Drosophila melanogaster: one gene and its partners. Each later gene encodes a partner of the first gene's protein in a complex. Each region holds a gene or a part of one and is shown on either strand. Other genes may lie near its edges.

Region 1 (4,825 bases):
CTGCTGAAGTGGACGTGCGAGGAATCCTTGTCCGTGGCCGTCATCTGCGGCAGCATGTAGAAGTGATTGCTGCTGTTGCACATCAGGCCGCGATGCAGATCGTCCAGATAGCTGGGATCAACAGATCCCAGGCTGTTCACTATAGTGATGGCATGCAAGCGATGCACGCGGCCGATCCTGTCCAGAAACAGAGCCAGCTCGAAAGCGCGGTCAAAGTTTTCGGTGGCCACGATTTGGTAGCGCGACAAAAACAGCGCGAACAAAAACTGAAGATACATTTTCGCTCGTGAACCATGCCAAACTGACTGGGATTTCCATGTACGCCGAGTACTTCAAGTGCATCTCGAATTATTTGCCCCACGATACGATCTCTAAAACAAAACCTGAAAACTGTTTGCCTAACACTTACCCGTGGTAATTGCTGGTGTCCACTCTTGCTCCCCAGTGGCTCCCCAGAGGTAAGACTTCGCCTGGGTGGCCGTCAGGTTGGGCACATTGGCGGGCTGGGGGTTCATCGGCGAGTTTTGACGCCGCTTAAAGACTGCGTATACAAAGCAATGCTAGTCGAGGAGGTTTAACTTTAGTTACTGCTACTCACAATCAATGGGCTCATCACCCATCACAAAGCTCTGCGAGGAGTCTGACTTGTTGAGCAGCGAATGGCTGGACACTCGGTCGTACTGCTCTCCATTTTCGCACCCGTAATCCTCCTGGTCGTTGTTGTTGTTGCTCTGCGTCTGCTGCAATGGTCTCTGCTGACCAGCCTGCGTGGGTTTGGCGGGCACCGCTTGATAATGATGCTGCTGTATGAGTACACCGGTTGGGCCCTTCGGGAATATGTGCGTCCAGCGGCGGCGATTGGAGGTCAGCTTTATTGTCACTTGCGAGGGATCAAAGGGATTGATCAGAGCGCGACCCGGACGCACTATGGGCGCAATGCTAACGATCGTCCTGCGGGAGTTCTTCTCCGAGGCCAGTGACTCGGAGAGGTTGGTTGTATCCGGTTGCTAAAGTCACATAAAAACAGTTCAAAAGTCAGGTAAAAAGTCAGTATTAAGATTTCCCTTACCAAGGCAGCCAGCATTGCAGAGGTGCCGTGATGAATATCGGGATCGGACATCTTGCGCCGCATAGCCGGGATTTGAGTCGGCGTGAGGTTCTCCCAATCGTTGTTCCTATAGGCATAGGTCTCTAAACTGGGCACCGATGTCTTCTTAGCCCGCACTACACGCTGCAGGGAGCTAAGAAAATAAAACCTTGATCAACAAAGCTAAAAAGGTAATTTTGTAGCACAATACTACCAAGTACTCTGAGCGGGGAGCGGCTGGAAGATCTGTTCATCATACGCATCGTAATCAAAGAGCGAGTTGTGCTTATACTCCGACTGATTGCAGCTCAGGAAGTGACGCTCGTTCTCCTCGCCCTCCCCGTCGCCAACGCCATCGTGGAGCGTCAACTGGGATCCAAACAGAGGCAGCTTGATCCGTGGTATGAAACTGGAGTACACAATCTTCTTGTTAGTGGAGTAAAAGCTCAAGTTTATCCAGTGGGGCAGAGAGTAGTCATCGGCGGAGGTCAACGTGGTGTCTTTGTTGTGGAATTTGAGAAGCGGAACCGCATGCAGTGGCTGCTCGCCCACACAGACCAGGTCGCTACCCACGCCATTGTCGATAATGCGCTGCTTCGTGATATTGGTTAGCTCTCGATCCACGGAAAAGACACCCACTCCTGGGGTTATAACCACGGATAGTTGTCCGGTGCGGTCGAACGTTCTATCCAAGTAATGCTTTTCGAAAGTGTTCAGCGATATGTTTAGCACCTCCAAAAAGTTACCCTGAGTGGCTGAAGAATTGGTGGCCGGTGGAATCTTCATGTTCTCCCGTTCGTGGTAGCGCAGCACAGTGGCCTGTAAACGGCGTAGTAAGTTTTTATAATAGAATAAATTAAAACATGGTTAAGTGACCTGGTAGGACGTGAATAGCTTTCGGAGCTGGCCCAAAACGGTACACCAATCATCACAGCGCTCATTCTGGATGGCCACGCGGTAAAAGTCCTCGTAGAAGCGACCCTTGTAGTCCTGCTGCAGGCAGTCGCGCATATGCTCGGGAAACTCGTCCAGGCTCTTGGCTGCGTAGAAGGTGCGGGAGAACAGCACGATGGTCACCTCGTGGTTACAGCTCAATTTTCGCCACTTTTGAAAGAGCTCAGTGAGAAACCCATTGACTGCCTTTTCGAAGTACAGGTCTCCGTGGATGTCAAAGTCCCACATCTCGGAGGACATCTGCAGGAAGAGGTACACCATCGAAGTGCTGCTGCGGAAGACAATCTTGGTGTCCTCCGTGATGACACCGCTGGCCACGCGCTCGCCTTGCGACCACATCTCGTACACCTGGCACCGAATCTGCATGTCGTTGTAGTCGATCTTCTTGTTCACATACACACAGGTGTCCGTCTGAGGGAGAAGTGGTACGTTAAAAGTATATCCTGGTCTGAAAACTGCGTGATTCCTTACCAGGTAGGTCTTCAGGCGCCACATTTCCGAGCGACCCATGTACTGGTCCTTGAAGGTAATCTCTATCGAGTCCAGGGCCACATCCGCCGGCTTAACTATGCGCATCACCACATTGGAGTACGGACGCATTTTGAAGGCATTGGCGATGCCCGATTCTATGCTTATCACATCCCGGCCACAGCTGCCATTGAACTCGGTGATTTGGAGCAGCAGGTGGGTGCCGTTCTCCTCGTCGGGGGCGTAAATTTCTACCACATCGCCCACATTGGCGTTGGGATGATCCTTTAGATTCATCACCAAGTCCGCATCTGTGCCGAAATTTCCGTGTAACGTAATGTTTGCGCAATATCCACTTTCGCTTACCGTAGGATTTGTTGCAGCCACGCGTATGCGTGTTCAGCTTGTACAGCTTCATGTTGACTTAGTGGTTGCAAAACCAACGGACAATTATTTACTCAATTCCAACATTTGCCCATTTGCATGCTAGTAAAATAAAAATTCTATTTTTTCGTCTTTTGTTTTGATTCCTTATCTGCAGAGTGACCGCAGGCATGGATTATTTGGTATTTTCCTGTACAAATATACCGAATTTAATGTTTACCTTTAATTGTTATTGTAATTAATTAAATCACGCAGTTTATTTATATTTTTCAAGGTAGCTCAACACTTTTATCTTTTATTGAAAAACTAACTTAATCTGCATTCCCTGTCAGCTTAATTATTTTCATATATATTAAATTAAATAATGATTTCAGTTACGTAAGCTTTTCTGTTATGTATGTTATTGTGTGATTTGTATTATTCGTCACAAAATTTGAATTACCGAACGTTAGGGGCAACCGATGCTTTCGTCACTAGACTCCTACCAATTCAGCGGGGATTTGGTGCGTTGCTATTGACTGAAATTTTTTTGGCATCTATGAAGCCTTTTAATTTACCCACAAGTGTAGCCAAAAGTTAACATATTTTACAAACTGGCGAAAAACTTTACTAATTAAAATAAATGTTTTTTTATATTATCGATTTAACACATATACAGTTGCGTAAAAAATAGCACCACCATAGCGCGTTTTATTCTAGATACAAATAATTAAGGTTGCACCGAAATAACGCAATATTTTCGAATAAAATTTTTAAAAATAGTTCTGGGTATTTTTCCTATTCGAATATAATAATAATCTGTAGAATGCATATATTTTTTGCAGCTTTATGCTTATATATGTAGTCAGTCTGCGTCACAGAAGCGCAATCGATTTCTTTCAGATAAGACCTTTTTAATTAAAAATGTAATTTCACCTATACTTCTGGAGGAAAATGATTGTTACATCGCATTAAAAATAAACACCCCCACGCTAATCAGTTTGTCCGCTCCTGAATCTATCAATTTCCATCTTTCTGACCATGAGTTAATCTAAGCAATTAGAACGTTCTATTTAAGTTTTCCGTACAGCTTTATTGTTTACACATATTTATTTGCTTAATGAATTTATCACGAAGTGACTACAAGCTGCATTCGTTGTTTTTCATTGAATAAATTTTATTGGGTCGCAAATATCAGTGAGTACATTTCGACAAAAATTGTTTAAAGACAGTTCGTTCGCCCGCGTAAATGGGTAATCCTCCGTCCTCAGTCAGATAGCTGCACTCGACTCGCTCCATTCCGGGTCCACCATCCATCCAGCTTCCATCATCCGGACCCCGGACTCGTATTTATGATCCTCGGCGTCGGGGATTGTTTCGCAATCGGTTGTTTGTTTATTGTTTGTGGTGATTAGAACGCCACTGACGACAGAGATCGCCAGATCGGGCAGATAATTCGCATTCTCTACTTATAGCGAGGGTTATGTATACAATCGAGGCGCGGGTCGCTCACCAGGATGCGTCGAAGTCGATTCGTCGGTTCGAAAATGAGTTTGCTCGTATATATGTAACTAACAATGCAAAGGGTCAAAGGGTCGTCGTCCTCGTCAATCACAATCTCAATCTCAACATGCAGCTTAAACGGTAGACAGAACCACGAAACTGGCTCCTAAAGCTAACTAAACACGTACGGACTACAAGTAAACGTTAATCACTAGGGAGGATGGGCTGGAGCACCACTCTCACATCGCCACGGTGGCCAGGACAACGGTGATGTCGTCCGGCTTGCCGCCACGCGCCTGAATGTTATTCCTCCTGGCGCTGAGGGCGAAGGGCGAGAGGAACTCGCTGTTGAGGGACAGGGTGCGCGCCATCAGCGCCAGGCTGTTGGCCGTCATCTGGAGCTTGACGGGATCGCGTTCGCCCTCCACCTCGCTAAGCACCTGCAGCATT
Region 2 (5,204 bases), on another chromosome or scaffold:
TTGTGATGTAACGCGAAAATGCCCTAGGAAAAGCGATCTGAGGAACACTGAACTGGGGAAATGTGGACCAGAAAGCTATTCATTGGATTCGCAAGAATGCCGGCTTCTAATCCGAGATGTAAGTGGTGGTATCAAAACACACAGGCCTTCCGAATATTCGTTTAGACCCATTTCGTATGGGAAGTATCCACGAATTACGCAAATGATGCGATTCCAACTTTATAGCAAAACGTACAATCCGACAATAACCGAGTAGATTTATTGATTCATGATTCGGGACTACTAAGATTCGTTGTGTCTTCTGGTGCGCGACGAACACTACGTGGACTATTCCGCACAGTGATATAAGTTTGGTTCATGGTGGCACCAAGATAAAGTTTAATCAAAAATATTTTTCTAGAAAATTATCGTTCCACGGAATCTTTAAAACGATTGAATAATGCGTAAACCCATTGATAGTTCACTTCATTAATAACATTAACATTAATACCGTGAACTCTAAACATAACTAAAGAAAACCACTCATATTGAAAGGCAAGCGGCTGAGGTTTAACTTAGGAATTTATTCGGAACTCTTACAATTAAGAACAAGATCAGTGCCACGGCACCTGGTTGCCGATGGTGCCCTTTTTGTAGAACTTGGCCGTGGCCGAGGCGGTAGTGGCCAGTGTCGGAGTGGGCGGAGCAGGCTCGTAGGTGGGTCCGCTGCCCTCTGCCTTCAAGACGGCGGCACAGCGCCACTGCCGGTTGTAGTTCATTCGCCACAGACGCACACAACCGTCGTCGCCCGTGGAGATCAGCATCGTGGCCAGCATATTCCAACAGACGCGCCACACTGGGCAATTGTGCTCGCTAAACTTAATGGTCTGGATGTCCAACTTGGAGATGTCCGTGGCGTCCCTTTAATTATAAAAATTATTATTATTAAATGATTTTGGGTCTTTAAATTGTCGATCTTACGTTACACCCCGCAAGTTCACAATATAAAGATCCTTGCTGGCCACTGCCAGCATGTGAAAGGTGCGTCCGGCATTTGGAGCAAAGGCCACATCCGTGACCGGATCGGTTATATCATTGACAGTATCGATTTTAACGCACTTTCGGGAATTCTCGCTGTAGGCGAATAAGAAGACCTTGCCAGTAGGCGTGGCTGCCTCGTCGCTGCCCGCCTGCAAAATAATTTATGAAAATTAGGCTTATTCTTACTCCACAGATAATAGAATTAATCCTTAATAGACTAAGACTTGGAATTTAAATATACTCACCGCCAGCAGCTGGGTGACCATGTAAGTGGAAGTGTTCCAGGACAAACAGCTCAGCGGCAATTTGTTGCTAATCTCGTGCTGCACGGGCCACTGCGAGAGGTTCATAATGTCCGGGGCCTCATAGATGCGAATAATGCCGTCGGCGGAGGCGGTGGCCAGCAGGAGTCCCAGGTACTTGGGTGCAAACTCCACATCCGTGACACTGGTCCGCGAGTCTACAAGGGTGGTGCGGCGCACCCAGCGGCGAGTGGGGGTATTGGTGGAGGATACCTTTTCGCCAATCACCTCCTCCCAAACGGAGGCGGTGCGATCAAATGAGCATGTGGCCACAACCTGGCCAAATTCCGGGTGCGCCCAGGAAACGCGCCAAATGGAGCCGGAGTGCGCTTTCCAGCTGCTCGTGACATTCCACTTGCCCTGCCCATCCTCGTCCCAAATCTGCAAGCAGAAAATCCGGATCACCTAGGCTGTTTATCGTAGGAATAATTCGAGTCCTCACCTTGACGGTCTGATCGCTGGAACAGGTTGCCATCCTGCGGCCGTAGTAGTCGAAGACCACGTCGTGTATCACATCCTTGTGGTCGGCAATAATGGGTTCCACGTCGAACATGATAAAAACTCAACTTATTTACCGAAATGTTGTTTATAAAATGCACGCGCCGAAAAATCTGCGCCGGTAATGCAGCCCTACAAGGAGAGACAGGGTTGGCTTGCAAACAGCCGCCGAACAGCTGTTGTTTACCTTGCTCAGTATTTTTTCAGTACGCCCAGGCGAACGGTCACACCGAGTTAGTGGTCCGAATTACGCGTGAAATACGAATAAAAAATCGAGCGAAAAATAACAAAACACAGTACTCTAGTCGATCACAAGCTGATAACGTATCAGCCGTGCCACACGCCCATCCGGGATTCGCGAGAACCACACTAGTCGGAGAGTCAGGACTCCAATAGCCGCCAAGAGGCCGTTTTGCACCCGGAAAAGAACAGTTACACACAACAAAATTGCCAACCGAAAGAAACGTGCGAAGCGCAGTGCGATGGAGAAGAGTAAGTGCGGTAATCTAAGCACTAAACGGGTAATTACGGCCCGATCCTATACGATACGATCCGAGCGAAATGTATGCGCATATGTGTATGCAAATGAGTGGGGTGAACAACCCCACAGCATAGTCGTATGTAGATCGGGACCCGCGTTTGTTTAGCATTTGAATTCGCTGGCTAAAGTGCGGATTTCAATCAAAGTGCAATGGGCAGCATAAATTCCAATTGCTTCCATCTGCAATATGCTCAATATGTCTTGCCTTGCTCGCCCTCTCTCGCTCGCGCACTCGCTGCTGACCTTGATTCCTATTGGATTTTACACATCGCGCGATGCCCGTGACGTATGTGTGTGTGTGTGTATGGGCGAGAGAGCAGCATAGCTGCCAACGTGTGTGTATGTCGGCCGGCATCAATTACCTAATAAGAACTAAATTGGAGACTGCATTTCTTGTTGGTATTGTATTGCATAAATACGATATAAGTATATTTATGAAATATGAGCATATCACAAGGACTCGAATCGGAAATTCAATCCAACGCAGTCACTACAAATTCGTAGTATTTTGCTAAGAAATTAAAAAACAATTTAACTGTAAACCGTGCACTTTACAGTGTCTACAAGATTTCAAGTGTGTTATCACGCACAAATCGGTTGTTTGTTGCTCTGTAGAAATCCTAGAGATAAGCACATCGAAATCAGGCGTTTCACACGCGACCGACTTTCGGTTCTATTATTATTTGGCTGTGATATCAGTAGACGGTTTTTTTCTGGCCACGCGCCAAACATGAATAATTCGAACAGAATCGAACACCGAAATACAAAAATTTCCGTGCGATAAGATGCCGGGAAAGATTTGGAATTGAGCCCGAGCCGAAACCATGAAGACCCGTCACCGTTAAGTATTAATCATAATCGGTCGCCAAGGCCAATGCCGAAATCGGAAGATTTTTCAGGCACTCGCCGCCTATCTGAGATTAAAGCGGGCGTCGCGTCGGGAATTTCTTTTATGACTTTTAAAAAACCTCTGCTGATGCCGGGAGCAGCGAGCATCACGGAATGAAAACAAATCAGCGGCGTTCGCGTGTTCTGCTCGTGGCAGCGCACTGAATTCGTTAATAATAATTCGATTCAAGTGCATCGCGCTAATCAATTTCTGGCGTTTTCGCCCATTTAACCCTAATCAGCATCGCTTGCCACTTACGCCAGCAAATTGAGAAATTATGGTCGTTGTTGTTGCTGCTTGCTGCTCCCAGCAGCAGAGTGCATTTCCGTCAGCGGTTGGGTCAACTCCCAGATTAAGTCCAGCTGGAGCAGCAACAACAACAACAGCAGTACCGAATGCCATCGGCGACCTTGACATTGAAAAGCTACCGCCGCCCATGAGACAGAGATACATGGAAGAGAAAAGAGCGGGACGCACTGCTAGTGACAGAGAGGGGTAGACGGTTGTTGGCAACAGCTGATCGCCATCATCATGTCGCTCTTATCTTTTATCAGCCGCAGACCGTTAAGGTATAATTGCTGTGCAACAGTGGAACTTTCCTATAGTGGAACTCACTGATGTTAAGCTGATTGCGATTGCCGCTGGAAGGGCATGCTTTTATGGTTAGTTTTTATGAGTTTTTAGTTTGGAAACTACGCAAAAAATCCAATATAAAACAAAATGTCATTGTAGTTATTCCAGAACTTGTTGAATCGGTATATACAGAAACCTTATTCATCACTGACGACAATAAAGAAATGATTTTGTTAAATATTTCTCTGGTGCCACTGTACCCAGCATTTATTTATTCGGACATTGTTATGGCATAATTGGTTCACAAAAAGATCACTGAAACCGACGGAGCACACTGGTCGTCATTACTTGAGCCACCTTCATAAAAATTGTTATTAATCCGGCAGGTTGCCCCGCTTAATTCGACCGCCTTTCTGTTCGAATTAGTGGCGCTCCTTGTACATATGTAGTTCTTATGTAGTACATAGTGCACATATATTCCTCCTGGTCACTTGGCGCTGGCTGAGCCAGCAATAAGCAAAACAATAACACAACAACAACAACAACAATTGGCTTGGCGACCCGCGAGACCCGCTGGCGATTAACATACGAGCGCAACAACCTGAACACGCACAAACACAGGTCCGCGCACGAAAACCTGGCCGTAGACGTAGTCAAAGCTATAGCTATAGTTGATATTGATAGTGGCGACGCCGAAGTCGGCGTCCGCTGCGCGTTCGGAGAAGCGGCGTTCAGGCATCGATAGTGCTTTTCGGACGAGCATGGCCCAGTTGAGTTCCAATCGTCGGTCACTGCAGTAGCCATCTAGAAATCGTGCGGAACCAGTCAGTCTAGGAAGTTCAAACCGATCCTACACGGTCTACTACAATCCGATCCGATCCGGTCCGACCTCGTCTTCGAAACTGCCATCACAAGCTAAACAAGGGCACACGCAGAGTGGTAAAGCGAGCTGAAACCGTAGATCTAAATCCTAAGACGAACTAAACCCAAAACACAACCGTATCATATCCAGCCAAGGTCCCGAAAAGTGCTGCCCTAGAGATAATCGCACGTCGAGTAAGATTCTTTTGTTTTCGACTGTTGAGTAATGCCAGCAGAGTTCTTATCACAGGATCGGTGGTAAATAAAGCACAATTAAAAGACTCCATCCATTGCGAGGGTGCGCACTAACGGAGCTACTTGAGTACGGGACCGGGCCACACCTGTTGAGTCGTTTCCAGCGCAGAGTGTAACCCAAGTCCCAGTTCTCTGCGCGATTTCCGAGTAAGCGGTTACATAACACCCCGCTGGTTGCCAGAGATCGATTCCGGTGTCCAATCCGACTTTCCGTGTCTTTCAATGCCCGCCGCCTGGCTGGCACACTTACACACGTGCACACATG
Region 3 (5,483 bases), on another chromosome or scaffold:
GGGAGTTCTTAATGGGAAACCCGTTTTCGGGCACTCAGATTGGACAAAAGCCTCAGGTGTAGACACGAATGAGTTGAAAAGGTCAAGTAACTAAATATCGCTATTTTCAAAGCTATCATGTACAAATATTTAATCTTAACTGCCAGTTAAAGTGCTGTGCTCAAATTCCGTAGCACTCACATGCTTTATGGAAATTTGTACCCCCACCCACAACTTACCGTCTTTATATTATATCTTGTGTATCGGCACTGTCTTTTGGTTTAATCTATTCACTATATCTTGATTTGTTTGTTCAGGCGTTATCACATAATGTTATTAACCATTCACTTAAGCCCTACGAGTGGAAGCACTTTTTCTGCACATTTACGTCAGAAAGCAACAAAAAATAATAACGCCGCATAAAAACGTGCGAAGCGGTGTGACCGTTATCAGTTCCAACAAGAATGCTAATAAGTACTACCTGAAAGTGTTGCAAAACACGAAACTATAACGGTTTCAACTTTCAAAAGAAAAGCTGAGAAATATCTATAGTAATTTGTCGCACATAGTCCTTTATTTGAATGTAAGTATAAAATGCAATTGAGCAGCTAAAAGCTGGTAGGTCATAAACACTAATGCTACGGGCACATCCCTTGTCTAAGTACAATGAACACTTCTGAGTTTGTTTAAGGCGCACGCGTTTGGAACAAATCAACAACTTAATGCATATGCATATGGCCTGGGCGAGTAAGGGCTGTGTATGGTGGGTGCTCCGGACAGCTAGGAAATGTCTCTCAATGTGTTCGGCTTGGTGCCGTCCATGTCGAAGCAGCGGCAGTTGCACGACGACACGGGGCACTCTGAATTTTGCCTGGCAAATAAACGCGTACATTGGTCAGAATTCAATTAAATATTGGTAACTTTGAACTCACTTGAACCACTGCATGATGTGCTCGGTGTGTCCGCCGTGGCGACAGGTCTGACACCAGGAAAACCACTTTGAGAAGGGCTTGGTCTGCCAGCCGGGCACGTCGGGCGTGGTGGTCGGGGTCTCCCCATTGCTCATGTTCACCATTGTGCCCATGTGCATTAGGCAGAGCGAGCAGCGGGGCAGGGGTTTCCGGCAGCTGGGGCATGAGGAGAGCCTGTTGGTGCTGGTGGTGGTGCTCCGTGGACGCGGCTCGTCCAGCAAGGCGTTGGACACAGACTTGCCGCAAAAGTTGCACGACAGAAATACGGTGCGGGAACTGCGGGAGGATGGGCGGATGCTCTCGATCTTGATGTCCAGCTCGGCCCGCTTCTCCCACAAGCCCCAGCTATTGAGGTGATCCAAGTAGCTGGCGATCCAGTACTGGATGCGCTTGTCCTCGAAAAGCTCTTGCCGGAAGTAGTTAATGGCCACCAGGGCTACCGTCTAAGAAACAGCTCAATGTATATCAAAGTTTCTACATATGTTTTTATAGCGCACGCTCACCTGCACATCGAAGCTGGTGTCCATATAGGACTGCAGTATATCGATTCCGTCCTGCGACTCTCCAGTGAGCAACAAGCCATTTAGATCGCCACCATCTATGGCCGCCTGGATTTGCTGCGCAACATAGTCAGCCAGCTTGGTCTCCGATAGATATTTGCAGGCGAAGGCCATGCGGTCTGATAACGAAACGCCTTCCTCTTTGAGCACTGCATCAAAATTGTCCTTCTCCATCGTTAGAAAGGAGAAGACAGCCCTTAAGTGTGGATCGTGTATCTGCATGTTGGCGCTGGATCGCTGATTCCGCCACGTGGAACTGCAGCGATCTGCATTGAAACTGGACAAGGCGATGACGGTGATCCTGTACATGCTGGGATCCCTCATGTTGTCCGCCGCCGACGATAGGATGTTGCAGGCATGGAAAATTTTCAAGTGGAACACGCAGATCATGGCTGCCCGGCTGTACTCCTTGTTTGCATACAACTGGTCTATAAAGCGATCCAGCTCCTGCTCAAAGGCCCAACCGCAAAGTTGGAGGGCCAGGTCGCGCTGCTCACTCCTGCATAAAGATTGGGGTTATCACACTCGTCAAACCACAAATTCATATAAACTTACCTGTAGCATATCAGTTTGTTGGAGTTGTTGATGCCCTCTGGCCACTGGAGCACCTGAGATTCAATGCGGGAGCTGGCCATCAAGGCCTCCGAGGTGTGTCCCAAGTTAATGCCCAAAGTGGCCTTTAAGCCCGTCAGTCGATCCTCGCTGTAGACATTGTTCAAAGTGGACCACACATTTCGCAGATACGGTGTCAAGTGGAGTTCGCCGAATCGCTTGTTATCGGGTTTGATGCCGTAATCCTCTAGAGCGCGCTGACGCGTCTCGTCCACCAGATCCAGCTCAAAGAGTTCCGGTTTCAGCAGGTCCACATTGAAGGGCGAACCACCAGGAGTGCTAAAGTCCAGGGAACTCCCGCTATTCGTGCTGCAGCTGCTCGTGGGCTGCTGCTGAGTGGGCGTGGCCGCAGTGGAAGTCGGCGAGGCGGGTGTGTAGAGCGGACGCTGCATCAGAAGTGGCAATTTCCGGCGATTGCTGTGCGCCGTGTGCAAGGTGGCTGGCAGTCGAAAGTCCAGGATGTTCAGCGCATCTGCCAAAAGCAGAGCTCTCTCGAAATCCCTCGAATGCCACGACAGGCAATTAACAAACGAAAACTTTCCACTGTGCTGGTATCTAGCCGGAAAGGGGCTAATCTGTCGTTTTACGTGGTAGATCTCTCCGGAATTGTCCGTGTCCACACTCCGGATGTCGTAGAGAGTGATGTAGGAGGAATCGCGTTGCAGCGAGGAAAGCAGGCTTGTCCTGGTCGGACACCAAGCGATCTGCAAATGGTTTTTCGAGGACTGAATCTGCCTGAGGGGACTCTTGATATTTCGCGGATCCCACAGAGTGATCACCGAGTCCACATAGCTGCAGAGATAGTTGCCATTGGGGGATACGGAAAGTCCCTGCACTGTCTTTGTTTGAATGCTTTGACAGGTGGCGTTACTCTCTGCGAAAGGGATTTAAAGATTTCATCAGTGAAAGGGCAATAAAGTAATACTACGTAGTTGAAATATAACCAGTCGCATTATGTGTACTCACGCCTCAGATCGAACAGCTTTATCATCTTCTGGCTCATTCCCGCAATGACCGTGCGATGATTTCGATCCCAGCAAATGGAGTTGGCCGACTCGCCGACGCCGAAGAAGTTGGCCGTCTCCTTGGGAACTCCACGCTCAATGTCCCAGATGGTGATGCAGGTGTCATTTCGATGGCGATCGTGTCCAATGGCCAGGATATTGGCATCCAGCTCGTTCCAGGCGAGGCAGGTGCACATGCGCTGCTGACGCGGTGCTACGAGAAATGAAGAACTATTAGATGCAGCTAAGAATCGGCGTTGTCGTCCACCCACTGTACTCCCAGCTGCTGTCGTAGGTGTCCCGGAAGTTGCAAATCCCGACTTTGCCATCCGCCAGACCCACTGCAATTATGGGCTGGTCACTGTGGTAGGAGGCGGCCACGCAGCGGGCATATTGATAGCGCGACTCGTTGGCGAGGTAGTTCACGGATATATAAGGCAGGCGACCTGCAAGGGGGGCGGTTAAGTAAAGTGGCATAATCCCTTGGGGAAAACCCTACTTTTTTGGCTGTGATCATCTTTGCGGCGCACTTCGTATAAATGGATTTCCTGGCCCCAGGATACGAATTTGTCGGGAAAATGTGGAAACCAGCTGAGTCCGTGTGTATTGCCGCTCATCGTGGCCGATTTTCCATCGATGTAAAAAAAAACAATTTTCACTACAGACTAAATTGCGTCGCGTTATCAGTTTGCAAAAACAAAAACGTGAGATAAACACTGCACTACATGGCAAGAAGAAGAGGCGCACACACACTAGCCGGTCGACCAGCTGTTGGCCGCATGTTAGCCAGCACTGGCCCAGTTCGATAATTCGTTTTATCGATAAGCTGGTAGGTGATTTTGTTTTCCTTTTTTTTTTGTAAGAAAGCAAACGTGTTTAATATTTACAACTCCCACTTAAAATGCTGCGCAAAACACCAAAACCTGCAATTTGGAAATTCATCAAAGGAAGTGCCAAAACACTGTTTGTCCTCGAGGCAGTCTGCTTCGCAGCCAGCTACGGCGTTTATTATCGCATGAACACGAATCGAGGTGGGAGGATATTTATATAATTATTTTGATCGTTAATAACAATCCGCTCCTAGAGTTTCGTCAGCATATTCACGAGAACTATCCCTTCGTTTTGGACTATTACTACAAAATTGGTGAAATCGTCGGAGACAGCACAGTGCGACAGGCGGATGCGAGTTATTGGAGTGCTTTGAAGAAAAGCGACTAGAGGAGACCGCTTCCAAAATGCTTAGTAATCCCTACTTTAAGTCCGTTTTGTGGCTGATTGGCTTCGGAGGAATGGGGTACGGCCTAATGGTGTTAACCGAGCCGAACGTCGACAAGTTAGAGCGCATCAAAGCCTCCGTTTCAAGTACCAAACTGAGTGCGGATGAGCAGCGAAAGGCTCTGTTTATGAAGAAGCTCCAGGAGGCGTCCACCACCAGTGCCCCAATCTACAGGTCATCGTCCGAGAAATAGGATAGTTAGGAAGCTTAATCGTCATCAATTTATCAATTTGTTATACTTTTTAAATACAAATGTTAAGCATTTAATCTTAATTGGTTGGGTAGGGTGATTCATTAGAAGAAAATTCGATTCGTACAAGAATGCGAAATAGGAAAAAGGAAATAAAATTACTAAATTGTTAATATTCACGTTTTAAATGTTTACAGAGCCCTTACTACTTCTGTTACTTTTAACATAATCTGTTAGGAATCTTGACCACCCCTACTCGCAGTGCTCGTAAACGTCCGATTCTTAACAGCGAATCTAATCTAAGCGCAATTGCATTTTAATGGTAATTTAATTGCCATTATTGACAGAGTTTATGGCAACGAAGACGCACACAATGTCCGCGGGGGATGTCCCCTTGGTGGCGATGGCCAAGGTTCCGCCGACCATTCAGTTTGAGGCCACAAAGAACTTTCACTCGCACACCGAGCAGAAGGAATTGGACAGTGCTTTCCTGGGCTACAATCGACGTCCTTGGGTTCGCCAAAAGGCTCACAGGGACACACGCCGGGAGAGGGAGATCCTCAACGGTCTACTGTGCTCTACCAGCGTGGAAACGGACTACGCCAGCACCTGTGTGGACAAACTTATTGCCGAGAACATTAACTATCTGGATTTGGCCTCTCTCACCGACGAAGATTTGGAACTCTTCGGGTTCAAGTGTCGAAAGCAACGGCAACAGCTCCTGGAGATGTTCGAAAAGATTCCCAACCAGAATCCCAGTTACGAATACATTTGCAACCATCCTGAAGCCGAAAACTACAACAATCAGATTCTGGGCAATGCTGGCAACCACTTTATGTCCCTGCGCGCTTCTTTAGCGGCCACCAACTACAAGCTGCAGGTCTCCACTCC

Evidence for each region. The genes of interacting proteins can lie anywhere in the genome.
Region 2: Iml1 (region 1) and Nup44A share a complex: the UniProt entries of both Drosophila melanogaster proteins name them as parts of the GATOR complex.
Region 3: Iml1 (region 1) and mio share a complex: the UniProt entries of both Drosophila melanogaster proteins name them as parts of the GATOR complex.

What each region holds. Positions count from the first base shown.
Region 1 is NT_037436.4:1,530,982-1,535,806, forward strand, and holds the start of Iml1 (increased minichromosome loss 1), read right to left. Parts: upstream 3,054-4,825; 5' UTR 2,928-3,053; coding exon 2,876-2,927; intron 2,821-2,875; coding exon 2,513-2,820; intron 2,453-2,512; coding exon 1,964-2,452; intron 1,907-1,963; coding exon 1,302-1,906; intron 1,242-1,301; coding exon 1,070-1,241; intron 1,008-1,069; coding exon 599-1,007; intron 542-598; coding exon 410-541; intron 279-409; coding exon of another isoform or gene 1-278. Other genes in the region: Ir62a (ionotropic receptor 62a), read right to left, coding at 1-278; CG12091 (uncharacterized protein), read right to left, coding at 4,615-4,825. UniProt on the Drosophila melanogaster protein: An essential component of the GATOR subcomplex GATOR1 which functions as an inhibitor of the amino acid-sensing branch of the TORC1 signaling pathway.
Region 2 is NT_033778.4:7,986,624-7,991,827, reverse strand, and holds Nup44A (nucleoporin at 44A), read right to left. Parts: upstream 3,367-5,204; 5' UTR 3,319-3,366; intron 3,297-3,318; exon of another isoform or gene 3,201-3,296; intron 2,313-3,200; exon of another isoform or gene 2,114-2,312; intron 1,997-2,113; 5' UTR 1,876-1,996; coding exon 1,765-1,875; intron 1,704-1,764; coding exon 1,266-1,703; intron 1,170-1,265; coding exon 961-1,169; intron 901-960; coding exon 594-900; 3' UTR 545-593; downstream 1-544. UniProt on the Drosophila melanogaster protein: Probable component of the nuclear pore complex (NPC). Involved in maintaining the localization of another nucleoporin Mgtor to the nuclear envelope of early meiotic female germline cells.
Region 3 is NT_033779.5:2,215,687-2,221,169, reverse strand, and holds mio (missing oocyte), read right to left. Parts: upstream 3,881-5,483; 5' UTR 3,744-3,880; coding exon 3,626-3,743; intron 3,573-3,625; coding exon 3,399-3,572; intron 3,341-3,398; coding exon 3,089-3,340; intron 2,997-3,088; coding exon 2,066-2,996; intron 2,010-2,065; coding exon 1,454-2,009; intron 1,394-1,453; coding exon 912-1,393; intron 851-911; coding exon 760-850; 3' UTR 545-759; downstream 1-544. Other genes in the region: CG42371 (uncharacterized protein), read left to right, coding at 4,028-4,157, 4,211-4,344; CG15386 (uncharacterized protein), read left to right, coding at 4,362-4,595; daed (daedalus), read left to right, coding at 4,945-5,483. UniProt on the Drosophila melanogaster protein: An essential component of the GATOR subcomplex GATOR2 which functions as an activator of the amino acid-sensing branch of the mTORC1 signaling pathway.